7 linked regions of the Callithrix jacchus genome follow. The protein of the gene in region 1 purifies or fractionates together with the protein of each later gene. This does not show direct contact. Links are inferred from orthologs where the notes say so. Each region holds a gene or a part of one and is shown in the gene's direction. Other genes may lie near its edges. The genes, in order: IRAK1, PELI3, MAP3K7, PELI2, STIP1, TOLLIP and IRAK3.

The links.
Region 2: the proteins of IRAK1 (region 1) and PELI3 purify together in Homo sapiens (affinity purification with western blotting; 7 studies listed by BioGRID and IntAct, with this or other methods). This does not show direct contact. The link is inferred for Callithrix jacchus from reciprocal best matches to the Homo sapiens genes IRAK1 and PELI3.
Region 3: the proteins of IRAK1 (region 1) and MAP3K7 purify together in Homo sapiens (affinity purification with western blotting; 5 studies listed by BioGRID). This does not show direct contact. The link is inferred for Callithrix jacchus from reciprocal best matches to the Homo sapiens genes IRAK1 and MAP3K7.
Region 4: the proteins of IRAK1 (region 1) and PELI2 purify together in Homo sapiens (affinity purification with western blotting; 7 studies listed by BioGRID and IntAct, with this or other methods). This does not show direct contact. The link is inferred for Callithrix jacchus from reciprocal best matches to the Homo sapiens genes IRAK1 and PELI2.
Region 5: the proteins of IRAK1 (region 1) and STIP1 purify together in Homo sapiens (affinity purification with mass spectrometry; 3 studies listed by BioGRID and IntAct, with this or other methods). This does not show direct contact. The link is inferred for Callithrix jacchus from reciprocal best matches to the Homo sapiens genes IRAK1 and STIP1.
Region 6: the proteins of IRAK1 (region 1) and TOLLIP purify together in Homo sapiens (affinity purification with western blotting; 11 studies listed by BioGRID and IntAct, with this or other methods). This does not show direct contact. The link is inferred for Callithrix jacchus from reciprocal best matches to the Homo sapiens genes IRAK1 and TOLLIP.
Region 7: the proteins of IRAK1 (region 1) and IRAK3 purify together in Homo sapiens (co-immunoprecipitation; 3 studies listed by BioGRID and IntAct, with this or other methods). This does not show direct contact. The link is inferred for Callithrix jacchus from reciprocal best matches to the Homo sapiens genes IRAK1 and IRAK3.

The regions. Positions count from the first base shown.
Region 1 is NC_133524.1:149,931,840-149,936,139, reverse strand, and holds the start of IRAK1 (interleukin-1 receptor-associated kinase 1), read left to right. Parts: upstream 1-1,500; 5' UTR 1,501-1,593; coding exon 1,594-1,729; intron 1,730-1,809; coding exon 1,810-1,977; intron 1,978-2,079; coding exon 2,080-2,211; intron 2,212-2,326; coding exon 2,327-2,430; intron 2,431-2,615; coding exon 2,616-2,807; intron 2,808-3,044; coding exon 3,045-3,109; intron 3,110-3,250; coding exon 3,251-3,365; intron 3,366-4,300.
Region 2 is NC_133511.1:123,543,589-123,547,088, forward strand, and holds part of PELI3 (E3 ubiquitin-protein ligase pellino homolog 3), read left to right. Parts: intron 1-1,287; coding exon 1,288-1,417; intron 1,418-2,483; coding exon 2,484-2,585; intron 2,586-3,500. UniProt on the Homo sapiens protein: E3 ubiquitin ligase catalyzing the covalent attachment of ubiquitin moieties onto substrate proteins. Involved in the TLR and IL-1 signaling pathways via interaction with the complex containing IRAK kinases and TRAF6.
Region 3 is NC_133505.1:96,667,375-96,671,389, reverse strand, and holds the start of MAP3K7 (mitogen-activated protein kinase kinase kinase 7), read left to right. Parts: upstream 1-1,215; 5' UTR 1,216-1,424; coding exon 1,425-1,544; intron 1,545-4,015. UniProt on the Homo sapiens protein: Serine/threonine kinase which acts as an essential component of the MAP kinase signal transduction pathway. Plays an important role in the cascades of cellular responses evoked by changes in the environment.
Region 4 is NC_133509.1:90,773,546-90,777,646, forward strand, and holds the start of PELI2 (E3 ubiquitin-protein ligase pellino homolog 2), read left to right. Parts: upstream 1-1,301; 5' UTR 1,302-1,539; coding exon 1,540-1,616; intron 1,617-4,101. UniProt on the Homo sapiens protein: E3 ubiquitin ligase catalyzing the covalent attachment of ubiquitin moieties onto substrate proteins. Involved in the TLR and IL-1 signaling pathways via interaction with the complex containing IRAK kinases and TRAF6.
Region 5 is NC_133511.1:121,249,283-121,252,782, forward strand, and holds part of STIP1 (stress-induced-phosphoprotein 1), read left to right. Parts: coding exon 1-98; intron 99-1,067; coding exon 1,068-1,236; intron 1,237-2,658; coding exon 2,659-2,785; intron 2,786-2,879; coding exon 2,880-2,982; intron 2,983-3,243; coding exon 3,244-3,364; intron 3,365-3,500. UniProt on the Homo sapiens protein: Acts as a co-chaperone for HSP90AA1. Mediates the association of the molecular chaperones HSPA8/HSC70 and HSP90.
Region 6 is NC_133511.1:130,617,602-130,621,101, forward strand, and holds part of TOLLIP (toll-interacting protein), read left to right. Parts: coding exon 1-52; intron 53-1,259; coding exon 1,260-1,350; intron 1,351-3,500. UniProt on the Homo sapiens protein: Component of the signaling pathway of IL-1 and Toll-like receptors. Inhibits cell activation by microbial products. Recruits IRAK1 to the IL-1 receptor complex. Inhibits IRAK1 phosphorylation and kinase activity.
Region 7 is NC_133510.1:53,021,873-53,025,877, reverse strand, and holds the start of IRAK3 (interleukin-1 receptor-associated kinase 3), read left to right. Parts: upstream 1-1,205; 5' UTR 1,206-1,291; coding exon 1,292-1,424; intron 1,425-4,005. UniProt on the Homo sapiens protein: Putative inactive protein kinase which regulates signaling downstream of immune receptors including IL1R and Toll-like receptors.

The DNA.
Region 1 (4,300 bases):
AGATTTTTAATACATGTGAAAGCAAAGAATACTCAGCATGCCTTTCTAAGTGACGCGTTTGCACCTTTTGTTGGGAAGTACTGTATCCTGTGCTGTTAGCATTCTCGATAAATCTCTCTGTGAAAGTGACTCAAGGTCTGGGCTTTCATTATAAGACAGAAGTCCCCCTCCAGCTCACATGACAGTGTGATGCTGCATTTCCTCATTGGATCTGGCCGTCCCTGGACACAGATAACTGCCTTCAGGCCTGCCATGAGAGGCCGAGGGACCCTGCTTCATATGCTGGCCTCTCGGCCCCTCAACTTCTTCCACACCAGTGCTTTCCAGGCACACTGCTGCAGCGTGTGACGGGAAGGGCCTAGCATGAGTCAGCCTGCAGCACGACCTCCCTGCTCTTGACCCATATGGTAGGGGCACCCCTAGGTCTGAATGTGCTGTGGTGCTTTTGGACATACGTACCCCACAGGTGGTAGCTCCTCCTGTGTCATTCCTGCCAAGACCCTCACATGCCCTCCGCTGACTGCTAACCTGGTTCTCTGACCAGGCAAGGCCAGGCTGAGGGGATTGCCCAAAGGGGCCTCCTTGTCACTGGCTTCCTTGGCTCTCAGGAGTGGCCTCACTAGGTTGGTAAGGGGCTGGAGGAGACAACTGCTCAGAGTCCAGATTCACATGCACATGTGGGCACACCTACCAGAAGGTACCCTCTGAAGGCCTGGCCTTGAACAGTAGATCCCAGAGTTGAACATTCAACTTGTATGCATTGAGCATCTTGTGCGCCAGTCCTGTTCCAGGAGCTGACGGGCCTTCGTGTGTAAGACCAAGTCCCTCCGTGGAGGTTAGCATGGGTGTGCGTGGTCAGTTCAGATACTTGATTTGCTGCATCTCATAAAGCCTGTCCCCAATGAGAAGCCACGGGGTTTAGGGTATGGTTGTCATCTTGAGTGGGGCCACCATGGTGGTGGCTTTTGGGAAGACTCCAACAGGGGCCAGCTGTGGGCCTTGGGCAGACTTCGTTTCTAGGAAAAGTTCTAAGTGTGTAAGGCTAGGGGTGGGGAACCCCTTCGCTGTCAAGATCAAGACGGCAACAGGAACTGTCGCTGGAGGAGACATCCAGCTGCAGAAACAAGAGTAAAGTCTGCCTTTCTGCTTGTGGAGACCGGGGGGTGGCAGTCTAGACAGGTCCTCGAGGACGATGCCCAGGAAACCTTCACCACAGCTGCTTGCGCTCACCCTTGCAAATGAGGGACAGGGCAGCAACGTGTGGCCAGAAGCCGCCGTTTGTCCTCCAGAGCCCCGCCCGGGCGCGCCCGGCCTCGCGCCGATCGCCGCGCGTGGAACGCGCTGGGACCTGGGCCCTCTCCGGCGCGGGGGGGCCCTCTCCGGTGCGGGGCGCCCCCGTGTGGTCGAGCGAGCGGCCGCAGCGTGCAAGATGGCGGCGGGCCCGGGCACCGCCTCTTCCGCCCCGCCGGGCGTCCCACGAGGCCGGCTCGAAGGGGAAGTGAGTCAGTGTCCGCGGACCCGGCCGGCCCAGGCCCGCGCCTGCCGCGGCCCTGAGAGGCCCCGACAGGCCCCGGCCCGGCGGCGGCGGCGGCCATGGCCGGGGGGCCGGGCCCGGGAGAGCCCGCAGCCCCCGGCGCCCAGCACTTCTTGTACGAGGTGCCGCCCTGGGTCATGTGCCGCTTCTACAAAGTGATGGACGCCCTGGAGCCCGCCGACTGGTGCCAGTTCGGTGGGTGGCCGCGGGCGGCCGCGGGGAGCGGGGGGCGCGCGGGCTCCCGGCGCCGACGCCTGACGCCCCCCGCCCCGCAGCCGCCCTGATCGTGCGCGACCAGACCGAGCTGCGGCTGTGCGAGCGCTCCGGGCAGCGCACGGCCAGCGTCCTGTGGCCCTGGATCAACCGCAACGCCCGTGTGGCCGACCTCGTGCACATCCTCACGCACCTGCAGCTGCTCCGCGCGCGGGACATCATCACAGCCTGTGAGCGCGGGACTCCGGGCACCCCACGGCTGGGGGACCGGCGATTCCCACGGGGCTGCCCCACCCGGGCCTCAACGTTCCTTTCCTAACTTGGCGTCGCAGGGCACCCTCCCGCCCCGCTTCCATCCCCAAGCACCACTGCCCCGAGGCCCAGCTGCATCCCTGCACCCGCCGAGACAGAGGCCTGTAGTCCCCGGAAGTTGCCGTCCTCAGCCTCCACCCTCCTCTCCCCAGGTAAGAGGGCCAGGTTGTTGGACTCGATGGACCCGAAGAAGGGCCCACCTTGACTGCCACGGCTGTAGACCCCGCTGCTGCTCTCTGCCTGCCTCTCACTGGTGTCTTTATGAAGCTTTTCCAGGTTCCCAAACCCATTCAGGGCCTGAACTCGGCCTGGTCCCCAGCCCTGCTTCCCTGCGGTCTCCACTGCCATCTCCAGCCCCTTCCTCTACCAAGGTAGGTGTCCCCTGCCCTCCAGGGAAGATTCGAGGCAAGGAGGAAGAAACTCAGCCTTTGGCACACCGCAGCCCCAGTCAGCCAAGCTGGGTCAGCTGGGAGGCAGCCGTGGTGGGGAGAGCCTGCAGCCTTGGGCAGAAGGGAGGATACAGGGACCCTACCTGATCCAGGCTCTCTTCCCACAGCCAGAGAGCTCAGAGAGCTCAGTGTCCCTCCTGCAGGGAGCCCACCCCTCTCCATTCTGCTGGCCTCTCTGTGAGATATCCCAGGGCACCCACGACTTCTCAGAGGAGCTCAAGATCGGGGAGGGTGGCTTTGGGTGCGTGTACCGGGCGGTGATGAGGAACACAGTGTATGCTGTGAAGAGGCTGAAGGAGGTGAGTGTCGCACCCTGGCAGGGACCCTGGAAGGCCATCAGACAACCCTCACTGACTTCTCCAGCCTTTCCCCTGGCCTCGCCACAGGTCCTTTCAGCCCTCATTCCAGCACAGGGTCCCTAGCCCCTCCGATGTTCTGGGCCTGGGGCAAGTGGCATTGGAGGCCCAAAGGCCTTCACTTAGCCTCACGCCACCCGTCTTCCCTGCCCCTCCCCCACCGCACCCTGGGGGCTGCAGGATGCAGGCCTGGAGTGGAGTGCGGTGAAGCAGAGCTTCCTGACTGAGGTGGAGCAGCTGTCCAGGTGAGGCCAGATCAGGAGCCGCACCAGGTCCTGTGGGGCTCCAGACTGCACATCACAGCACCTTGCTCCCTTGGGCGCCTGAGGCCCCATGCGGGGCTGCCCGGTCTGGCATCTTCCGTAAGGCTCCTCTTCTTCAAACAGGTTTCGTCACCCGAACATTGTGGACTTTGCCGGCTACTGTGCTCAGAATGGCTTCTACTGCCTGGTGTATGGCTTCCTGCCCAACGGCTCCCTGGAGGACCGTCTCCACTGCCAGGTCGGCTCCCTGGGCCTGGTGCGCTTCCCAGGACCTGAAGCACTCCTGACACCTGGCTGGAGCTGGGCACAGGGCCTGGGGCTTTTTGTTTGTGTGAGCGGGTCCTCCAGCAGGCCGGGCCTGCACTGCCAGCTCCCCACAGCAGGGTCACTTTTTCTCTTGTTTTGGAGACAGAGTCTCACTCTGTCGCCCAGGCTGGAGTGCAGTGGCGCGATCTCAGCTCACTACAACCTCCATCTCCCGGGTTCAATCAATCCTCCTACCTCAGTCTCCCAAGTAGCTAGGACTACAGGCACGCACCACCATGCCTGGCTAATTTTTGTATTTTTAGTAGAGACAGAGTTTTGCCATGTTGGCCAGGCTGGTCTTCAACTCCTGACCTCAGGTAGTCCACCTGCCTCAGCCTCCCAACGTGCTGGGATTACACGCGTGAGCCACCTTGCCTGGCTGGGACTACCGTTTTCTATAGAACTCTTTCCCAGGTCTCTCGAGTTCGCAAGCAGGGCAGCCTGAGGGTCTCGTTGGTAAGCCCCAGAGGCAAGGGGGCTGGGGCTGTCAGCTGGACCCCCCACTGCTGAGGGAGGGCCCTGCGGGCACACAGAGGGGAGAGCCCCCTTGCCTCTTCCAGCTTGCTGTGTTTGGGGAGAGTGGGGAGATGCCTTCGAGGACTTCCCAATCACCCAGGGACAAAGGGATGAGTCCTGGGAGCCACAGCCCAGCAGATTCTATCTCGAATGCCAAGAACATGTCCCTAGCCACTGCCCGGCCTTGAGTGCTTTGCCAAGCAGCCAGGGTGGCTTAGTCTGCACGTGCTTAAGAAGTGCAAGTCATGGAGATTTTGCTCCTTGTCTCCCAGGAGGAGACAGGCCTAGAGAGTCAAGTGGCTCATTCCAGGCTGCACAGTGACAGGCAGAAGGATGGTTGGGATCAAGAAC
Region 2 (3,500 bases), on another chromosome or scaffold:
TCCTGAGTAGCTGGGATTTCAGGCACCCACCACTCCTGGCTAATGTTTGTATTTTTGGTAGAGATGGGGTTTTACCATGTTGGCCAGGCTGGTCTCAAACTCCTGACTGCAGGCAATCTGCCCGCCTTGGTCCGCCAGAGTGCTGGGATTACAGATATGGGCCACCGCACCCGACCTCATCTGGATTTTAGCAAACTCTCTGGAAGATTCTGATTCCAGCAGCCTTGTCTGTATTTGGCAGCTATTTGTCCTGTCACCTCCTGTTCCCAGACCTTCCTGGCTCTCCACTGCTTACAGAATAACGTCCTCAGCCTGGAGTTCAGAGCCATCTCCCCACCACACTTCACCAACGTCACCATTCCCCAATCTCATTAGACCCTGACAGCCTTGGGGCCTTTGCTTAGGGTGAGCCTCCATCTAGAGGGGCTTCTGCAAGTCTGGAGTGGGACAGACCAGGCTCAAATCTGGACATGTTTACCTACTAGCCTGAGGCAAGTCACTTTATCTACCTGAGCCTTGATTTCTCTCATGTGTAAGATGGGCAGAAAGCCGCTTGCCTGGCAGGCCACTGCACAGATGCCATTAGGTGACTGATAACATGAAGGCCAGGAACACGGGGGCAGCAGCCCATGGCAGCAATGAGAGCTGTGACTCACCCACTCTGTGCCTCTCACAGCCGTCCCTTCCAGACAAGAACTGGAAAGGCAGGTGGAAATTTGACATATATAGACATATGGAGGTAGTGGCATTGTGGGTCATTTTTTCCTTTGATTTTGCTTCCTAGTAGTGGTGTGAGAAGTGACAGTTTGCTACAGGTGAACCCTTTCTAGTTCTTCAAGACCCAGTAGAGGTGTTTCCTCTCCCAGAAACCTGATCCTAGAGCCAGAATTCCCTTTTCTTCTTCTAGGCTTATGGCATCCTTGGCTTGTGTCTGGGTGTGGCAGGTGGCACTTAGGTTCCTGGAGAAGCTGAGGAACCTCTCCACTGAGGGCCCACAACTGACCCCGTGGTGCTCTACTGCCCCCATGCACAGCACCGAACCAGGCATGGCTTGAGTGTCCAGGAAACACTTGGTTAACTGAATGAAAGTGCGTTTGAAACTGTTCTGACACCCCCCGCCCACTCCCCAGTGCACCAGTTTGTTATTGTGGGGCTTCTAGAGCTTGTTTATTAACGTAGGATCTCCCCAGAAGTTGGCAGTTTCCTCCAGGTCTCATCAGGGGTTCACCTTCCCTCTTTCTCTCTCTCCTCTTACAACCCTTTCTTCTTAACTCCCCACATCTATAGCTACAATGGATGTCTGGCAAGTGGGGACAAGGGCCGCCGGCGAAGCCGCCTGGCACTGAGCCGCCGGCCGCATGCCAACGGAGTGAAGCCGGACGTCATGCACCATATCTCCACGCCGCTCGTCTCCAAGGCAAGCAACTGACCCATAGACCTGAGCCGGTCCCGCCCAAGGCCCAGGTCTTTGGCATTCTCAGTCCTACCTGCCCACAGCCCCCCACTGCAACAGGGGAGCCTACTTTGTGTCATCACTCACTGCTTATTGGGCTAGCCGAGAATGGTGATGAGAAATCCTTTGCAGTGTGCATAGTTCTTTACAGTTTGCAAAATGCTTCCTTGACCACTGGACCCCTCTGAACCTTGGCTACCTCTAAGACGATGCTGCTTCTTTCCATCCAGTGGAAATGGAAATGGATGGAAATGAGCTGCACCATTTTAGAGGCAGCTAAGGTTCAGAGAGTGGGAGGCGACAGTCACACTGCAATGGTAAAGGAAAAACATTTGGCTTTAGAGGATTTGGGTTAGAATTCAGCCTCTGATATTTCCAGCTGTGTGCCTTTAGGCTAGTTTCTCTCTGACCTGTAGTTCCTTCAACTGTGAAATGGGAACAATAACCCCATTCTTTTTTGTTTTTGAGACAGAGTCTCGCTCTGTCACCCAGGCTGGAGTCCAGTGGTGTGATCTCGGCTCACTGCAACCTTCACTTCCTGGGTTCAACCCGCCTCAGCCTCCTGAGTAGCTGGGCACCACCACACCTGGCTAATTTTTATATTTTAGTAGAGACAGGGTTTCGCTATGTTGGCCAGACTGGTCTTGAACTCCTGACCTCAAGTGACCTGCCCACCTGGGCCTCCCGAAGTGGTGGGATTACAGGTGTGAGCCACCATGCCCAGACTGGTAACCCCATTTGTGGTCCATCCTCTGGCACCACTGAATATCCTGACCCTCTGACTGTGCCACTGCTCCCTGGTATCCCAGCAGCCTCAGGTAGTTTGGAGGAGGCAATTACTTTGAAATTCTTAGGGTGACTGTAGGGTTTAAATCACATGAAACAGCCACTGCACTGTCCACCCTCTGCAAAGGATGGAGCTGCCCACTTCCCAGGGAGTGGCTGCTGGGCCTTGAGCTCCAGCTGCCGGCTCGAGGCATACCCTTATCATGGCTGCACACCCTGGCAAGTGACTTTTTTCTCCCCTCAGGCACTGAGTAACCGTGGCCAGCACAGCATCTCGTACACACTGTCCCGGAGCCACTCAGTCATAGTGGAGTATACACATGATAGTGACACAGACATGTTCCAGGTATGCTCAGGCCTCTCCACACACCTCCTGGCCACCAGGCCTCTAGGCTCTGCAAGCATCTCAGGTGAGGCTACAGTATGGGAGGCCATGGGGAAGTTGCTTCTCTTCAGACGAGGAAGCAGGATGTCCCAGTGTGGGCTGCTGACTGCAGAGTCATACAGCAAGTCAGCGGCTGTATCAGGGCTCAAACTCAAGACTCCCAGACTGTGGGAGGTCACATAGCTCAGGAGTTCAGGTGTGAGAGGCTAATGTGTGGTTCAGATTTTGGCTCCATCACTTAAGTTCATTTTTCTTTTTTTTGAGATGGAGTCTTGCTCTCATCACACAGACTGGAGTACAGTGGCGGACTCTTGGCTCACTGCAACCTCTGCTCCCTGGGTTGAAGTGATTCTCCTTCCTCAGCCTCCTGAGTAGCTGGGATTATAGGCATGCGCCACCACGCCTGGCTAGTTTTTGAATTTTTAGTGGAGACAGGGTTTCGCCATGTTGGCCTTGATCTCCTGACCTCAGGTGATCCACCCGCCTTGGCCTCCCAAAGTGTTAGAATTACAGGCATGAGCCACCTTGCCCACCTATTGTCACTGAAGTTCTCTGGGCCTTGGTTTACTCATCTGTAAAATGACGCCCTTAATAGTACCCACCCCACGGGAAGATTAACTTAGGCATTGCACATAAAATGCTTAGCATGGTGGCTGGCCTATGGCAAATAGTTACTCAGAATTCACTATCTGCTGCTAACATTTGAGCAGCAGATATTATTATTATATTATTATTAATTATTATCCTGTTGGCAAATCAACCGGTATTTATTGAGTGGGGTGATCCCCAGCGCTGGGGGCAACAGAGGAGGAGAAGCTCCAGGCCATGGCTTCTTGTACTTGGAGACCCATCTGGGAACCTAGAGGGCCTAAGGAG
Region 3 (4,015 bases), on another chromosome or scaffold:
TTTCCCAGGAGTTGGTAACTTCTTGATGGTCAAATCCAATGACCTATTTGCAATCCCAATTGTGTTTAACATAATTCTTTTTTATACAGCATATACTTGGTTGGCTACTTCTTCATTGGAGAGCTTTCCTCTGGTGACATTCCAATTACTATTTTCCTCACTTCCCTCTTTCAGTCTCTTACTGAAACTTAGAATTTGACATTAGCGTGAATCCATCCTTGGTCTTTACATTTTCATTTCTAACTCCAATTTTCCACGGTTAGGCTTTATGTCAAACGGACTAAATAGAGTTCAACAGTTAGTTTAAAACTAAAACTTGTGCTGATAGTACAATATAGGCAATGCTGCCCATTTTGGGGACAAGATTGATCTAGTTTCAGAGGACCATAATTGCTTTAAAGTCTGAGCCTATTTTCTCAAGTCCTGAAAATGGAGATGTAAAAATTTGATTTTCAAGACGACTGTTGATGATTCATTTACCAATCTAAAGCAACAGTGCCCTGCACTCGTAATCCATAACTTGAGATGAATACGCCAAATTATGTCTCTTAATCATCTCCTCCATATAAAGTTGTAACACCAAAATATTAACTTCTGTTCATGAGCACTCAACCTCCACAGTTATTCATGTTGCATAAGCTGATTCGCTCTTTTAGAATCTCTCATAGTGTCAGGGACGAGCTCAAAGTAACAGGTGCAACTGCTTCGTTCCATATCCCACACTGAGGAAAATACATTTCGTAAGCTGTCTTAAAGAAACAGGTCAACTTAGTTTAGGGCTGAAACTTAAAGGTAAGCTTCGTCACAAAAACACATTTCAATACCATCTTGCCTGTCTGCAGGCAGCTAAAAGGAGACGCAGTGAGGCCAAAACATATTTCACGCAGCAGAGACGAAACCCCATCTTTCATCTTTCCCGCTGGTCCTTAAAGGACCAACCGTACTGATTTTCCGTCACGTTCCGCGCCACTTCCGCTCGCGCACTTTAATTACGTTAGGCATCAGCTCTCGCGTTATCATCCGGTTGCTGAGGCCCTGTAATAAAGGTCTCGCGAAATTTGTTCTAGAGGTCCAAGCTTGCTTCTTAGCTTACTCTACCCCACCCCCAACGTGTCCCTCCTTTACTTTCCAAGTCAAAAAAATTTCCCCTCCCATCTCCTCCCCCAGAGTTTACGGCCCGCTTCCTGTTTCCGATTTCAGCCCGGAACCGGAAGTATAGTGGGCGGGGCCCGGCAGCGGAAAACGCAGCGGAGCCAGAGCCGGGACACGGCTGTGGCCGCTGCCCCTACACCCGCCACGGACCGACGGGTGGTAGGAGTGCGCGGCTCCAGGCTGAAGGTCGGTCCGGAGGCGGGTGGGCGCGGGTCTCACCCGGACTGTCCGGGCGGCACCGTTCCCGGGCCACCCGGGCGCCGCGAGGGATCATGTCTACAGCCTCAGCCGCCTCCTCCTCCTCCTCGTCTTCGGCCGGTGAGATGATCGAAGCCCCTTCTCAGGTCCTCAACTTTGAAGAGATAGACTACAAGGAAATCGAGGTGGAAGAGGTGAGCGAGGCCCGGCATGTAGACGCCGGTCCCGGCCCGCCCCGACCCCTCCTCTGCCTGTGCCCCAGAGGTCCTGGCTTTGAAGGTGTCTCCCCGACCCCTCTAATTCGCTGGACCCTAGTGGGTCCACCCGGGAGACCCCACATCCCTCAGTGACGCGGGAGTAGGAGTTACTCTCTGAGCTCAACTGTTCGGGAGTAGCTTTTTTTCCCTCACTTGGGCACTCTTGATTTTGGATTTGATATCCCGGTGATAAACAGGAGAATGAACTGGTGAGATATTGTGGTCCACCAGTTCTCGTATCTGTAAGTAGTAGTTTCAGCGAAGATCGTAGCCGTTCTGGAGTTTCAGTTCGCTGGCCGTAATGTTCTGAATGGTCAAAGATTGTATGATGTTCGACTTCTACCTCAATGCCTGGCATGTAGGGGATGCTCAATAAATGCTTCTTAAATTAATAGATCGTCAAGTCTAATAAAGTGTTTCCCTTGGCACCGAATGGTTCTCAATTTCTCCGATTTAAATGCTCGGCTTCCAGTTGGGTTAATGTAGGTAAATTTCACCATAAGTAACATAGACTGGTCTACGATCAAAATATGTTTCAAGTAGCATACTCTGAAGAGAACGAATGATTACAGTGACAATCAGAATATTAACATTAGACTAGAAATCGCTATCAGAAAACCCATATCCTCTTTATTCTGCAGTAATTTATTTTAGAACCTGTTATTTCAATGTGACTTTAAAGCATTGCTTCTTTTCAAATTAACAGAGAGGTAATTGGGTTCTAATGACTATCAAATTTAGAAAAGTAAAAACTGCGTATATATATTTTAAAGACACTCTAGAATTTGTTAAAAACTTCGGTTTAAAATATCAGCTCTTACCTTTTATTTGCCTTTTTAAAAAATTTTTAAGCACTTTGCGTTTTATATACCATGAAAAACCTAGTGAAATATTATAGATTGTCAACAAGTTGTGTCTACTTTAAAATTATAAAATTATTTTTAAGTATCAGCAAGTTCAAAGTAGTAAGATAACGTTCAACAAATAAATTTTTTTTCCTGTGCATGTTTTGGAAGAGTAGTGGATTACTGGATTATATGTATTTTTATCACATAAAGTAACTTTAAAGATTCATTGAGAACATCCTTATTTTACAAGATAATATGATGGGAAGAGCAAGGTGTTTGGAGTTAGAGGAAAGTTCAGTGTATCAGATACGCCATTTATTAGCTGTGTGATTTGGGGCAAGTTTCCCAACCCCTTTAAATTTTAGTTTACTGTAAGAAAGAGATAATAAATTCTGTTTGATTTTATCTGCATAACACATCATAGTCTTAGACATTATATGCAAAACACCTACCACAGGGCCTGACACATATTAGGAAACCTAGTTCCAGAGAGGAAATGTGACCTGCTTTAAGGTCAAATAGCTAAAAGAAGACCTGAAAAAAGGGAGAAATGTTTTTAGTGTATTTTTTTTTGCGTTAAGGCTATGATAAATTCCTTTTCCAGAAGTGGATAGTTGATCCAGCTTTCATGGCTAATATTCTTTTTTAAGAATAAAAATTCAGTGAGTCAGTATACAAGAATTGCAGTTTTTAAATAAGTGTTTGCGTCTGCTCTGTGGTGAATTGCTTGCTGTGCTTGTAGACTACAAATTGTTATATAATAATAACTTGTGCTTTATGGTCTACTAAATGCTTTCACAAACATTTCATTTGGTTCTTAAAACCTTAGTTTCTGTTTGCTACTTTTTAAGGCTTTTTGCATTCTTGATTCACGGAAAAACAAGTTCTAAGGAGGTAGTTATCATTTTGATGCTTTTCCCTAAAGCTGTTTCACTTCTTGTTAGGTTTGTGTGTTTCCAAGACCCTTCTCTCAGTTTAAATAATGTTTCAACCTTTGTGTGTATGTGGGGGTGTGTGTGTATGTAGGACATTTCTAAGGAGTAGGTTTTTGTTTATAGATGAAAATTTTTTTCTAATGGTAGTCAGTTATTTGGGTTTTTTGTTTTATTCCTTTTCATTTTTAATACTCTGTTCATTTTTGCATAGAAGGTTGAATTTAGACATTTCTGATATTGAAAGCATTACATAATTTCCATCATCTTCATTTGCACATATTAAAGCAATGTTATACAATCCAGGGTGAACCATGGACCCTTATTAGCTCTTTGTCAACTTAGATTACACTTCCAGTAAAATTGTGAGTAAAATAACAGAGGAAGATAGTCAGAAACAAAAACTATTTTATGTTGCTTTCAGTATTTTATGTTGTATAAGAATATTACCTTCTAAATTAAGAAAATCATATTTTGTATTTCTCAATATAATTGAATTGTATTATATCAATATAACTAGAAAGTTAAAAAAAAAACTCAATCACAGGCTGAATATGCAGTCCTTTAATTGATACATATTTCTAAGACATCAGCTGATCTTGCATTTCTAATATTGTAACTCAGTAGT
Region 4 (4,101 bases), on another chromosome or scaffold:
AATAATTTATTTCTAAAGTCTCAATTTAAAAAAATCAGTCCCTAACTGAAGTAAAATTACCAGAAACATCATGTCACTACCGTAATAACCTGTCAGAGAATGTTACACAAGGGGTGCAGCACAGCGGAAAGCACGGTTACAGATGCAATTATCATTTTTTCTAGCTCTTCACTTCGGGTCATAGCCAACCAGTCACTATACATATGGTAGCTTTTGCAGCATTTATTTCCTTAAATATTTAACAGTCTGAGAGGCAGTGATTCTCCGTAACATGTAGTGTTTCCGGCACATTATGAGTGCTTAATACATGTTAGAACAGTAAAATCCTGTATGATGAAAAACAGCAGTCAGTAAAACTATTACAGTCTACAGTATTTTAAAGCCATAACAATAACTAGTTTAAAAAGAACAGAAAGCAAACAGTGCATTGATTAAATCATGGTCATAAAGGAACATTTATATTCACTAAAAAATCCACCCAGGCAATTTCCCCTTAAACGTCTTAGGGGACTGAAAGAAGGCACAGGGAAAGTGAATGGAGTGAGGATTAAAAAACAACTCTTCCACCCCCAAAGCCATGTGGAGCTCTGCTGACGACGACCTGGGGCAGCTACATTCGTTGCAACGGTGGGGTACTCCAAGCGCCTTCGAAACGTCCTCTGCTCCAGCACCAACTGGCAAAACCCTCTAATTTCCTAGACGCCTTCCTGCTTCAAAGGATTTGGTTCTGGAAGGGGAGGCACTCAGGTGGGTGTGTGCGACACTTCCAGACGAGAGCCGGGAACCAGCGACATCGAGAAAGCGCTCTTCTACCGGGAGAGGAAGTTAATCCCGTCGAACTCCAGCCGGGAAAACGCTGGCTTGGGACCCGCGGCCGCTCGCTTCCAGTATCTCCCGCGGGCCTTCGCGGCTCAAGAGGCCGGCGGCGAGGGCTGAGGACCCCGCGTTCTAAGTTTGGGGAAGGAAGTGAGGAAAAAAAAATAGAGCTGCTCCTTTAAGAACTTCCTTTCCCTTTTACTCTATGTTTACATAACACGGGGGCCAAGCCTCCGCCGGGCTGAGGGGGGCGGGGAGTGGGCGCGGGCGGCCCCACGCGCCAGGGGAGGGGGGCCCCGCGGGCCCGGGGCGGGCGACTGGCTCCACGTGGGGCGGGGCGGCTCCCACCTGCCCGCGCTCCGGCCCCCGCCTCCCCCGCGCGGCCCCCGCCCCTCGTGCGCCGCCTCCCTCCTCCTTCCCTTCCCTCCCTCCCGCGGGGCTTCGGCGGCGGAGCTCGGCGCGGGCAGGTCCCCCTGCTGCCTGGTCCCATTTGTTGCCGGCTCTGACTCCGGGCGGCCGCGGCGCGCGGAGCTCCGGGAAGTCAGGCGGGGCAGCCGCGCAGCCAAGACGGAGCAGCCGCGGGACTGGCCGCCCCGCGCCCCCTTTGCCGCGGTGCCCTTCCCCGGCGCGCTCACCCCGTTCTCGGGATGGGATTGTAGCGGCGGCGCGGACTCGGCGGGGATCGCGGCGGAGGCGGCGGCGTCCGCGGCCGAGCGGGGCTCCATGTTTTCCCCTGGCCAGGAGGAGCATTGCGCCCCCAACAAGGAGCCAGTGAAATACGGGGAGCTGGTGGTGCTGGGGTGAGTCCTGGGGTCCCTGGTCCCAGGCAGGGGGGCGGGCGGGGAGCGCCTGCATCCTTGAGCGGGGCTGGCGGGTGGCTCGGCGCTATCCGGGGACCGCTGGGGCGCTCGGGTCGGCGGGAGCGGCTCGCAGGGCCCGGACGGCGGCGCGGGGGTGGGATGCCCCCCTTCGGCGCGCGCTCGGGGCGCTGCGGCGGGTGCCGGGCTGCACTGTCCGCGGGGAGGACGCGGCGGGGGAAGTGGTGGCCGGGACTCGGGCGACCCCGGGCAGCGCCGAGCACCCGGTCCGCGGCCGTACCGTGGCGGGGGCGGGCAGGGGCTCCACTTCCCGCGCTCCGCGTCCGGGCTGGGGAGAGCGGGCAAGGACCCGGGGTGAGGCGCAGCCGTCGCAGGCACTTCGCAGGGTCGCTTCCCGAAGCCGAGAAGCCGGCCGGCCCGGAGCCCGGTCTTCCCACCTCCCTCGCGGACCGTGGCTACCGCGCCTCCGAACTCCGAGCGCGGCTCCGTGAGCTTGGGCCGCCGCGGGTTGTGGGATTCCCGGCTGCGCTCTGCAAATTGTTCGGCTGGCCGCGGTAGCCTGAGGGCGGTGAACTGTGTGTGACCCGGGCCAGCCGGCGGGCCCTCCGTTTCTCCCTGCCGGAGTGCCTGGAGGGGAGGGGCCAGGATGCGGCTGCTCGGGGCCTGGCACCCGGGCGCGGGCCGCATCCCCCCGGCTTCGCCGATGCCCTCCCGGCGGCGAGGAGCTCGCCAGCCTCGCACGCCTCGGCTCCCTCTCCGCTGGTGAAAGCCGCATTTTGAAGATAGTAATTATGTACAATCGTTAAACGGCAGCAATTAGAGACTTCATCTACTTGCTGAGTTTCCTTGTGACATTTCTATTGTTTACCCTTAATAAGCCAGGAGAGAGGCTTCGCGGGATTAAAGCTGGGTAAAGTGGGCAGTGAAAGGGGAAGAGGAGGGGGGAAGTGCAGGAAACTGGGTAGGAGGGAACGAGCAACTTGGGTTTAGTGTTGAAGAAAGGATTATTTTTTTCCCTTTGGATGTGTCGCTCCTGGAAACCCGCGCTTTTGTCCTCCTGCGTTAAAAGACCTGTATTCAGAACATCCTGGGCGCTGATAGGTAGGCTTAGCACACAGATGAGGACTCATGACTGTGGGAGGACTCGGAACTTTGCAAAACGTGTTTTGATAAGTGAGTGCCTTGAAGTCAGTGCTGACTTAAAAATAATTTTAAAGAGAGGAGTTTTTAAGAGAAAATTCCAGACCCCGCGCAGCTCAAAGCCTCCCAGTCTTCCTGACTTTGTTGCTAGTGCATTAAGTGGGGTGGTATTGGAAATCCCATTACCTATTTTGAAGCTGTTTGCAGATAAGTGTTTTTCTAACCTGCATCTTCACTGCACTTCAGAGACAAATCTCAGGGTTCCTTGGAAGGCAGGAGGAATGACAGTAGAAAAGCCACAGTTTAGTCTGTCTTATGTAACTTCAGCCCAACCTAATTTTGTGGAGTTTGGTTTTGTTTGTGTGGCTGCCTTCAAAGTATGTTTAACACTGTGAACTTGACGCAGAAGATTAACGTCAGCCAGGACTTTATTTCATTATTTCCTTTAGAGGAAATCATGGTTGAGATGTTTCAGAAAAGCAGTGAGAGGGCCGGGAGAGGTTTTGTGTTCATAGCTGGAAGTGCAGGGCATTCCGAAGCCACGGAAAGGATTTAAACACTGGATTGTCGTGGTATCATAGTCTTATTCCACAGGAGCTTGTGGAAATCACGTTGGAGTTGCATATGCTCTGCCCTTTGCTAATGCTTTTCCAGGAGACCGAAGTATGGCATAGTTGGCACTTAGTGGGCAAGACACTCAGCTGTCATTTGTGTATCTACTCTGTGTTTGTGCTGTTGAGGCATTGCTGATGCAGTGAGAACAGGGAGCTTTCATATTAGTGTGGAATGGCAGGCATAAACAGAAACATGCAACTAGATGAGTAATAAGTGACGATTTCAGGTGTAGCCAAGTTCTAAAGAGGAGTTGATAGACTTGGAGACTGACTGCTTAGGTGAGTATTACTTTTTTCTTCTGGAAGGTCAGAGAAGTTCTCTCTGAGGATGTGAAATGTGAGTAGAGGATGCTAGTCTGGCTTTTGAATACTTGAATTGTGGTGGTTTTCTTTTTTTGAGAGTAGGTTTCTGACTCTTTAGCAATGTTGAACACATTGAAGAGTGCAGGTGAAAGAGTGACTTGATAGATTTTTTAAAGAACCTTATTCATATTCCACCCTTAGGACTTGAGACCGTGTACTTCAATCTTAAAACAACAATAACATTCACATAGAATTAATATCACCTTTATGATATTATCTTTATGTCCTCTGGGATATTAATATTGGAAAACAGAAAATTTCAAGATTTTCTGAATAGTAAGATGATTCCTGAGATCTAAAGATGCCTAATACTTGATATTCATATAAGCTTTTGCTTGTCAAATACAGAG
Region 5 (3,500 bases), on another chromosome or scaffold:
AAGTTGGAGAATGATCCCAGGACAAGGACACTGCTCAGTGATCCCACCTACCGGGAGCTGGTAGAGCAGCTGCGAAATAAGCCTTCTGATCTGGGCACGTAAGTGGATGCCTCTCATTGAGGTTCTGGCAATGGGGGGAATGTTAGGTTGTCTTCCTGTAACTTCACGGCAGAGGGTTCCCTGGTCTGAATGGCAGAGTTCCTGCCTTTGCTTATTCTCTGCAGAGCAGTAGGGGGTGATTGTTTATTTGTAATTATAGAAGGGGTCGGGGGAGCACATATCACTGTAATCTAGAATGTTCCTTGTAGTCCAGATACACCTCTTGCCTGGTCTCCTAGAACTCTGATCTAGCATCAACCCCATCCTTTCCATCTACTTAGGTCCTGCTGTCTCTATTGGTATATGGGAGTGGAAACAGGGTTGCAGTTCATCTGTAAAGCTGTGTCTAAGTCTTGTAAATGGTATCCGTCTCTATCTCAGTCATCTGGCCCCTGAGATCAGCTAGGGAAGTATACCTGTAACAACTCATTCCTCTGTGTCTGCCAGCCTTGAGGAATAAACTTGACCTCTGTTACTTCATTTCTTTTTTTTTTTTTTTTTTTTGAGATGGAGTCTCACTCTGTCACCCAGGCTGGAGTGCAGTGGCATGATCTCGGTTCACTGCAATCTCCACCTCCTGGGTTCAAGCGATTCTCCTGCCTCAGCCTCCCTAGTAGCTGGGATTACAGGTACACACCACCACATCCAGCTAATTTTTGTATTTTTAGTAGAAACGGGGTTTCACCAAGTTGGCTAGGCTGATCTCCAACTTCAGACCTCAAGTGGTCCGCCTGCCTGGGGCTCCGAAAAGCTGTGAGCCACTGTGCCCGGCCATCTGTGACTTCATTTTATTTTTTATTTTTTTGACTTTATTTTAGATGGATGGTGTTTTGAAGGTTTGCATATCCGCTAGTTGTAGCTCATGAGTGGCGCCAAATCTAGATCTGACTTTGATACTGTAGGAGTTAAACACTGATTGTGGGGAGGAGTAATTGCAATATTTCTTTCTTTTTTTAAATCAATACTAGGAAACTACAAGATCCCCGGATCATGACCACTCTCAGTGTCCTCCTTGGGGTTGATCTGGGCAGTATGGATGAGGAGGAAGAGGTTGCAACACCTCCGCCACCACCACCTCCCAAAAAGGAGACCAAGCCAGAGCCAATGGAAGAAGATCTTCCAGAGAATAAGAAGCAGGTCTCGTTGTTTGCCTCCTCACGGTCATACATTTATGAACAACTAGAAATCTTTATGTTAAATGGGAACATCTGTTGACCTTGAATGACCATGAGTATTAATATTATTATTATTATTTTAGAGGTCTCACTATGTTTCCCAGGTTGGTCTTGAACTCCTGGGAAACACAGCGCTTCTGCTTTTCAGCTAGGATTACAGTCATGAGCCAGTGTGCCCAGCTGTAACTATTTTGAGTACTTTAGTATATGCTAAGCTTATGGCTATTATTCATTAGAATGGTCAGCATGTTAAAAGATCAGCTTCAGGCTGGGCACAGTGGCTCACACCTATAATCTCAGCACTTTGGGAGGCTGAGGTGGGTGGATCACCTGAGGTCTGGAGTTCAAGACCAGCCTGGCCAACATAGGGAAACCCTGTCTCTACTAAAAATACATTAGCCGAGTGTTGTGGCGTGCGCCTGTAGTCCCAGGTACTTGGGAGGCTGAGGCAGAGGAACTGCTTGAACCCGGGAGGCGGAGGTTGCAGTGAGCCAAGATTGTGTCACTGCACTCCAGACTGGGCAAAAGAATAGGACTCCGTCTCAAAAAAAAAAAAAAATCAACTTCCCAAGAGATTTCCTAGGAGTAACATATAGCGAAGACAGCAACGCTGCCAGTGTGTGAATGTTGGTCAGAGCAGGACTGGAAAGTTGTGAGCAATTCAGGTCCTTGCCATGATCCAGAAGAGCATTGTCCACATCAGTCCCTCAGCATTCACTTCCTGGCTGGACGTGGCGTGTGGTTGCAAGTGTCCGCTAAGCAGCACTCCTGGAGCAGAAGGCATGTGCCTCAACAATTTCATTTTCCTCCTTGTAAACTGGAGCAGCAGATTGTTGCTAAATTTAGCACCTTGAAATGGGTGAGTGTTGGTTGTTCAGGGTGTCTCGGCTGGAAAAAGGCCCTCCAGTGTGGGCGGTAGTGAGTTCTGCTGAAGACTCGTGCCACTCATCCCCTTCTCCCCATCTTCTCACCACCCCCTCTGCTGTGGTTCACTGAAGCTAAGACCCTGAGGCAGCCATACAACCAAAACGAGATCTGCTGCAGCCTCTCAGAATAAAGCCTGGTCCAAAACTGTACTGTCCTCACCAGTTGCTTTAAGTTGAAGGGATTTCTTCTCCCCTAAAGAAGCCCTCTGCTTCCTGACAAAGATCCAGGATAGTAGGTGGGAAAGGGGGAGTTTCAGAGCAAGCAAAGACGAAGGTGTCATTCTAATGGCTGATAAATGGCTATTGTCTATAACTGATGAAGAGGTCTTCTGGAGAACTTGCTAGAATTCTATATATATTAATTGTATTTTAGAACTTGTGACAGATCAGAGATTCTTGCTGTCTTTGTCACCAGAGTTAGATTTGCTCAGCACTCACTTCTTCTAAACTTCACGTAGGCACTGAAAGAAAAAGAGCTGGGGAACGATGCCTACAAGAAGAAAGACTTTGACACAGCCTTGAAGCATTACGACAAAGCAAAGGAGCTGGACCCTACCAACATGACTTACATTACCAATCAAGCAGGTGAGGCCTAAAACAAGGGGCAGGGAAGTTGTTGGGTGTCTCTGAGGGAAGGAGCAAGGACTGACTGTTCCTTTTTAACCATCCTGCCTGACAGCGGTATACTTTGAAAAGGGTGACTACGATAAGTGTCGGGAGCTTTGTGAGAAGGCCATTGAAGTGGGGAGAGAAAACCGAGAAGACTATCGACAGATTGCCAAGTATGCTCAACCTTCCAGAATACCTTGAGTAGCACGGAGGGTTTGCTGTCCAAGACTTCAGTTTCCCTGCATGGGGAGGAGGGCTCCTGGCTATAAAATCTGCTGTGTTAAGAAAGGGCTGGCAAGAAGGTCACCGGAGCCAAGACAAAAGGTGTTGAAAGGCAGTGCTGCGGGCCTTTCTAGTTGCAGGTGTGTTTTCTCTGCAGGAGCTGACCTTATCTCTTTGTCCTAAGCAATACTTGTCCCTGTTTTCTTTATCAGAGCTTATGCTCGAATTGGCAACTCCTACTTCAAAGAAGAAAAGTACAAGGATGCCATCCATTTCTATAACAAGTCTCTGGCAGAGCACCGAACCCCAGATGTGCTCAAGAAATGCCAGCAGGTGGGTAGGAAAAGAATAGGGGTGTTTCCTAATAATTAAGCTGTTGTTTCTTACTGTTTTATTTATTTAATGATGAATTTGACCTTTCTTTTTTTTTTTTGGGATGGAGTCTCGCTCTCGTCGCCCGTGCTGTAGT
Region 6 (3,500 bases), on another chromosome or scaffold:
GAGGCAGGGGGACGACAAGGAAGGCATGATCAACCTCGTCATGTCCTACGCGGTGAGCTGGGGGCTGGCATTAGGGCGAGTGCGTCGGGCAGGGCGGAGCATTTCGGGGCATGTTGGGGCACATGGGGGCCATGCTGCACAGCGGATGCCCTTGTTTTTTTCCTGCAGGCGCCAAGCCTGTAAACCAGCAGGGCTAGCATTTTGAGGACAGAGGGCAGGGGCCCTGGGGTGGTTTGGTGGCCAAGAAGGGCTGCCCTGCCCACCATGCCTGCGCATGTGTTCCATCTGGAAAAAGAGGGTTGGGGTTGTTTGGTGGTCTCCCCTGCAGGCCCGGGTCCTCGGAGGCCCCCCACAGCCCTGCCAAGCCCTGCCCTTAGAGTCCAGCTGGGCAGCCCTCCAGGGTCTGAGATACAGCCGTGGGCCCTACAGGTTTCGAGGCGCCGGCCAGGACCTGGCAGGGTGTCTCAGTGGAGATGGGTGGGGGGAGTCCGGGGCCTGCTGCCCTCGGGGTCGGAAATCGAGGCCTGGCCATGCCAGGCAGTGGGGCCAGCACACTAGCCACCCTGGCTCCCAGCTGTCTCTGTTCTCAGCACACCTGCAGCTCCTGGGGGCATCAGGAGGGTCAGTTAGAGGATCCTGGACTTGGGGCTCTGCCGCCACCTCTGTATTCTCACACGGGTTTTTAGGTTGTGGTTGTTGGGATGTGGTGCTGTGGTAAACATCAGGCGGATGTGGGCAGAGGCACAGCAGGGAGAGGCTCTTCTGGGCAGTCTGGGCTCCTCCCACCCCCTTTTTGTTAATGCCGGGATATTTTAAAGCAAGTCCAGCCATGAGTGACCCCTCGTAAATGTCTCATGATGCGTCTTTTAATAGACACTTTTATACAAACATAAAACATCATGGCTCTCCAGGGACTTATCTGCAGTTCACATTTGAACTAAACTCAGAGGTGACAGCAGCCCAGTGTGCTTCCCCCAGGCCGACCTGACGCCTGCACTGGGTGTCCCTCCTGACGCCGCACACTCTCGGTCACATCCCAGTTAGCCGGGGGTGGGGGGTGTCTGTGAGTCTCACCGTGTGATGTCACCTCCCGGATGGGAGGAGGTGGAGTGGGGGCCAGGTGTCCCTGAGGACTGTGCACCCAGGTCTCACATCTGGCCTGAGGGCTGGCACGGCGACGGTGATTCTGGAAGTCACGAGGTTCTGATGTGTGTGGTGTGTTGTGTCCTGACCCCGGAACCGTCTCCGCTGTGTTTCAGCTGTTGCCAGCTGCCATGGTGATGCCGCCCCAGCCCGTGGTCCTGATGCCAACGGTGTACCAGCAGGGCGTCGGCTACGTGCCCATCACAGGTGCGTGTGCTCCCTCTTCCCTAGGTGCCTCTCCCCTGAGAAATTCTGGGGGCAGAGGGCGGGCGCAGGAGGAGGGAAGGGGGTTGAGAACTCTAGAATCCTGCAGACATGCTGACTGTCCGCAGACCCTTCAGCCAAGGAGCCAGGCGCTGGATATCTAGAAAATAGAATCTGTCTTTTCATGCAGGTCCTTCAGGCCAGGGAGCCAGGGGTTAACGTCTGAATTTTGTAAATGTTTATAGAAAATAGAATTGGTCTTTTCCTGTTGGCACAAATGCGTTGAAATTGTCAGAGCTGCGGAAAGGTGACTTTGCAGCCCCGTAGTGCCAGCGCTCTGCAGGAGAAACTCACGCTCCTGTCGGGTGACATGTGCCACGCACTGCGCCGTTGCATGCTTCGTCGCTGTTAGGAGTGAGCAGCCGCAGCAGCACCAAGCTGGGATGTCGCTTTTCATGCTGTTGCGTTTTCAGTCCTGCTGTGGCTGTCGCAGCAGCTGGTGCAAGGCCGGCCCCCACTATGGACGGGCCCAGTTCTCCTCAGTAGGCGGGGAGGCCACATCCCCTGAGAGGAGGTACTTGGTGGGGAGCCTGTGGTCATCCTGGTTCTCCTGCTTCGGTGGCCTCTGTCTTGGTCCAGGGAGCTGGTGTCCAAGCAGAGCACTAGTCCCTCTGCAGTGAGGCATGGAGTCCAGAGGCCAAGGCCATGGAAGTGCCAGGTTTCAGGCAGGGCGTTGGGGATGTGTGGTGGTGTGGGGGAGGGGCAGGGCGTTGGGCATGCGTGGTGGTGTGGGGGAGGGTCTTGGGGCCTGCGTGGGGCCCCAGCTCCCTGTGCTGAGGGGCTGCTTTGGGGTCAGGGCGGGATGAGGGGCTTGCAGGCCAGAGTGCCGGGAAGCCGGCGCTGATGTCCAGCCCTGCTGGAGCGGAGACGCCTGGTCCACACCCCAGTCCCGCAGGCATCCCGCACAGATGCAGAAAGGCCACCCTGGGAGTTGGGACCTGGCCTTAGACCCACCCCAACGTGGCGGGAAATGCAGCCGGACTGTGGGAAGGAGGGCACGGCACTGGGAGACTCAGGCTGTCGAGCATTAGGGATGTTCTCGGTCGTTGGGTACCAGCCCCAGCCCTGTACATGGTGCTTAGTTCCGGTGGTGACCGGGGGGTGAGAAGAAATACACAAAGGCGAGAGTCGAGTTTCACAGCCTGGGTCCAGGGGACCAGCGCAGTGGTGGGTGGCTTTGGCTGTGAGCTCCAGGCTCCACACACTTTTATTAGGTGCATTGTTTCATTAATCTTGCAGGCTGAGCTGAGGGGAGGTGAGGGGTAAACCAAAAGCTAATGTGGGGTAAGACAGCCGGGGGACCGTGCAGCATCCAACAGCACATGTGCTGCTTCTAAGAAACACTAACTTAGGATGCGGAGTTTTGCCACCCATGGTTATCAAGGTGCATCTGCATCGGAGCACAGGAGATGAGGCGCCGCCAGGCCTGACCACACGCAGTGCATCAAGGGGCTTCATCTCCCGAGCATGGCCAGCCCAGAGCTATCAGAGTCACTCCATACTCCGAGAACCTAGGTGGAGCCTGTGGCACTCCGGTTATCTCTGCCCTGCAGGGCCTTCCTGCCTTGCAAGCTCCTATCTGCAGTGACCCTCCCAAGTCTTGTGTATGGAGGTGGCATTCCTTCCCAGAGTTCTTGGACAGGCCCTCTTTACGAGACCCTCACGCAGACCCTGTGTTGGGAAGAAATCGTGGGAGCAAAGCGGCATTCCTGCCTCGCACCCACACCGCGGCGTTCCCCGGTTTTAGAGCTCTCACGTGGCCTCTACTGTCGGCCTCCTGTTACTGCTTAGTTTTTCTTCGTACAGGCCTGAAACAGTTTTTATTGTGCTGCACCATAGTTTGGAGTTTTCTTAACTCAGTATTTGATCCGTGGCACGAATCTCAGTGTATAAAAAGCAAAGCAAGCTTGTAATCATTTACCTAGAATAACGTGGGTCTGCCCCTGCCATCTTGGCCCACACTGTGATGAAACTGCTGGTGAGAACCACATGGCCTCGTCCTCCTTGCTCACATCTGCAGACCCTGCTTCCAAGTAAAGCTGCCTGCAGGTGCCAGGGCTGCCTTTCTCGAGAGGAAGAGCAGAGCCCGTGTC
Region 7 (4,005 bases), on another chromosome or scaffold:
AGCCTGGGTGAAAGAGTGAGGAAAGGAGGAGTGGAAAGGAGGGGAGGGGAGGGAAGAAGAGTGGAGGGGAGGGAATATGCCTTACCTGACCTAGATAATTTCAAAACAATTTTACTTACACTCTATGTTGAAGGTAAGAAGGAAGATTCTGTGAAGCACTTTGAGGAAGGATAAATGATGGAACAATGTTTCATCAGGGAGGCCCACGAGGAAAAGAATTTCTTAAAACCAAGTAGGTGTATGGAGGAGGGGCCACCTCGTGAGGAAAACGAACATAATTTTACTCTGATTTGGTGTCTCTTCTGTTTTTCTGTTGTTGGTATCTACGTTCATCTTTTCTAATAATTCCATATATGCACATTTTGATCTGTTTCAATGCAGTAAAAGTTGGGAGGAAAATGTGACACACTTTTAGAGTGTCATGGGCTGAGTGGGGTTGTGAGTGATTATCTTCTTTTTTCAGTTTTTTTCCGGGTTTTCCAAGTGTTCCTTGATGAACATGGATCGCTTTTCTGACAGAATAAAAAGGAAATAGGCCGGGCTCAGTAGCTAACGCCCCCAAACGCAGGACTTTAGGAGGCCCAAGGTGGGAGCATAGCTTGAGGCCAGGAGTTCGAAACCATGCTGGGCAACGTATGGAGACTCCCTCTCTATGAAAAAAGACAAATAATAATTATTCGGCCGTAGTGGCCCGCGCCTGTGATCCCAGCTACTCCGGAGGCTGAGGTGGGAGGATCGCTTGAGCCCAGGAGGTGGAGGCTCCAGTGAGCTGAGATCTCATCATTGTGCCACTGTCTGGCAACAGAGCATGACCCTGACTCAAAACAGAGAAAAAAGGAAGAAAATACAGGAAGGAAAGAAGGCATGGAGAAACTTTCAAAAATAAAATTTTGAAAGAAGCGATGACACCTCTGGCCGTCCACGCGAGGAGACTGCCCCCATGGGGCCCTGTGGGCTCCCTAGAGCTCTGAGCTCTGGGCTTTCTCCAGCCCTCACTGGGCTGCTCTCTGCAGCCCTGTACCCACCGCAGAGGCGAGAAGGGGCGCAAAGCCAGCTAAGGGAGAGCTCGGGTCGGGGAGCTCCCAGGCCCGGCCGGGCAACCCCAGGGGTATCTCGGGCGAGGCGCGCCTTGCGTCACGTCGGCACCGCCCTGCGCGGGGTCGAAGCACGGCGTGTTCCAAGGGCTCCGCCGCCGTCGTGGAAGCAGGATTTCCGCGGTTGTGTAAGCGCCGGTCGCGGGCGTGCAGGAGCCTGTGCTCCACCTAGTCCCCGGGGCTCCGGCCGCCGAGCCATGGCGGGGAACTGCGGGGCCCGCCGCGCGCTGTCGGCGCACACGCTGCTGTTCGACCTGCCGCCCGCGCTGCTGGGGGAGCTGTGTGCGGTCCTGGACAGCTGCGACGGCGCGCTGGGCTGGCGCGGTCTGGGTGAGTCGGCGGGGGCCGGCCGGGAGCGGCGAGGGAGCCCACAGCGCCGCGGGGCCGGCTCGGTGCCGCCCTGAAAGGCTCGGGTCGCTCGCGAGGTTGGCGCGGCCTCCGGGAGGTTCCCACCGGGGAGCCGGCCCCCTCCTTTTCCGGGGAGGGCGCAGAGACTCCCTGAGACCCAGATGCTGGCCCTCCCTTTTCTTTTGAAGAGTTTTGGGTATCGCTGCAATGTCAAGGGAGCCGAGGCCTGGGAAAGGCGGATAACCCGCATAAACGCATCTTCTGTTCGTCCGAGATGCCTCCCTCACTGGGTTCGCAATGTGTGATGTCTTCTGGTCCTTGCAAAATCGCCCCAGAGTATGATTTTCGTATTGAGACGTTTTTAGAACTTTCAGATATTTATTCCTTTGGTGTTTTCAATGCATCCCTAAGCCCCTAACTTAATTGCAAGTGAAATGCTAAAGTAAAATACGATTTGCAGTGAACGTGGCTCCTAGTTTTCTTAATTAAATCTATCTTGTTTATTTACCCAATTTGTGGAATGAAGGTTTATGCTAGAGAGCGGCTTTTTATTTTAATCTAAAACATTGGCTTCAAAACTGTGTTTCATGCACACTTTGGAAAGTTTAGCAACTGCCGGCTGGAAGTGTTGAGTGTAGCCAGAGATAATTCAGACAAAATCTTTGTTTTGTTAAGTAGGTATTTTTGGTTAGATTTGACATTCCACAATGTCACTTTTAATGTTTATTGAAAAGAATCATGATTATGTCAAAATAGCTTTAATGGTCCGAAATAGGATTTTTCTTAAAGCAATAGCAGAAGACCTAAGAGGAGAGTTTTCTTTGTTACTGATGAAGAGTATGCTCACAGTCTTTGAATTGTAGCAATGGGCGTCTAGTTATACAAAAGATGTTTGTATATTTTAAGCTCTGTAATTTTAAGGTATAGCCCTTAAGCAAAAAAAAAAAAAAAGTCTCAGAAGAGTGTCCTCTGATTTCTGGAAAACAGATTCCCAGTGTGCATTTGAGGGATTTTGAGGGGTGGGTATCATAAATTAGTGGGGCAGATTATTCATTCTCTCTCTCTTTATCTCATCTCTGTTGATAGCATTGAAATCCAGATATTCATACTTTACACGGTTTATCTCATATAACCCCTCCAATCACGCTGTGAGTCATTATCATCTCCAGTGTTTTTTTGTTTTTGTTTTTTAACAGATCAGGAAACTGTGGTACAAATTGGTTAAATAACTTGTTCAAGTTCACCAGCTGGAAGTGGAAAGCCAAGATCTGGACCAAGGCAGTCTGGATCCAAGGCTTATGTCCTTCACCCCAGCCACTCTGCACTTCTCCCCTTATTGCTTTGCTCTTTTTGTCTGTACCTCCCTAAAGTACAGACATTTCTGGCATCAAAGAATAATTCAGTGAGCCATTTCAGTAATTCAGTCCCATTTTCCTAGTGGTGAAAATAAATGAGGACCACCCAAATGAGAACAAACAAAAGTTGTTTATTCAAAGCAAGGCAGTCAGCCACCATTACTTGAGTTTGGCAGAGACTCAAAAGCAGGCAAAGGATGGAGGAGGGTGGGAGAAGCCTTCAGCTATGTCCTGATTGGAGGCTGTTGATATGGGGAAGCTGTAGCTGAGCTACCCAAAAGGGGAGCATTCTTTGTGTTTGTTTAGGAGTAGATAATTGGCTTTCTCTGGTTGGCCCTAAGTTGGAAGTAGCAGCAAAAATTGAGGAAGCTGTCAGTAATTAATCAAGTCCTGGCCATTTGGGGCAGGTCGCTACAGGGGTTTGTGTTTGGCTGCCTGGGCTAGTTGCTACGGTTTACAATTGCTGACAGTTGAACTTGGTGGATACCGTAGACGGTAGGTTGGCTTCTTGGACGGGTTGATGCACATTGTCTTCAGAGTTCTATTTTTATATATAAGCTGACCATTGTCCCTTTGTGTCATTTTCTCACAGGGAAAGGGTTTAAAATGTTTACTCCATGACACTTCAGCTGTAATTCATTGTGCAGGTGGTCATGCCTAGTGACCACCTGGACTAAGCTGGCCCTGACCGTGTGCTTCACAGTTGTTGGCTCAGCAAGAAGTCAAGGCTAGCCCAGTTCAGGGTGTTGAGGCAACTGTGTGTGCTAAACATGCTGAGTTTTCCTATGGGCACAGTGAAGGGAGAAAGAGGGCAAGAGGTGCAAGTAGGGAAAACTTGACCTTTGCTAGGGGAAGGAGAGTGATGGAGCACTGAATCAAAGAGGCAGACCCTTGTATGCTCAGGACAACTGAGAGCCCACGTTTAAATATAGAAAACAACTGTCATGGTACTAAGTAAAGCTCTCTTGAGCCGATCATGATTCTTGACGATGGTGAATATCAGGCTGTATTTACAAAGGCAGCTCATACAGCAACCTATATGATATGATCAGTGTGTGCAGGATAAGGTAAGCCAATCATTCACAAACCCAAATCACCTATGTAGTCTTTTAAATACACAGATGCTCAGGTCCCACTCCTAGAGCTGCTGATTCGGTAAGTCTGGGTTGAGGGTCTAGCATCTTTCATTTTTTGTCAAGCCCCAGGAG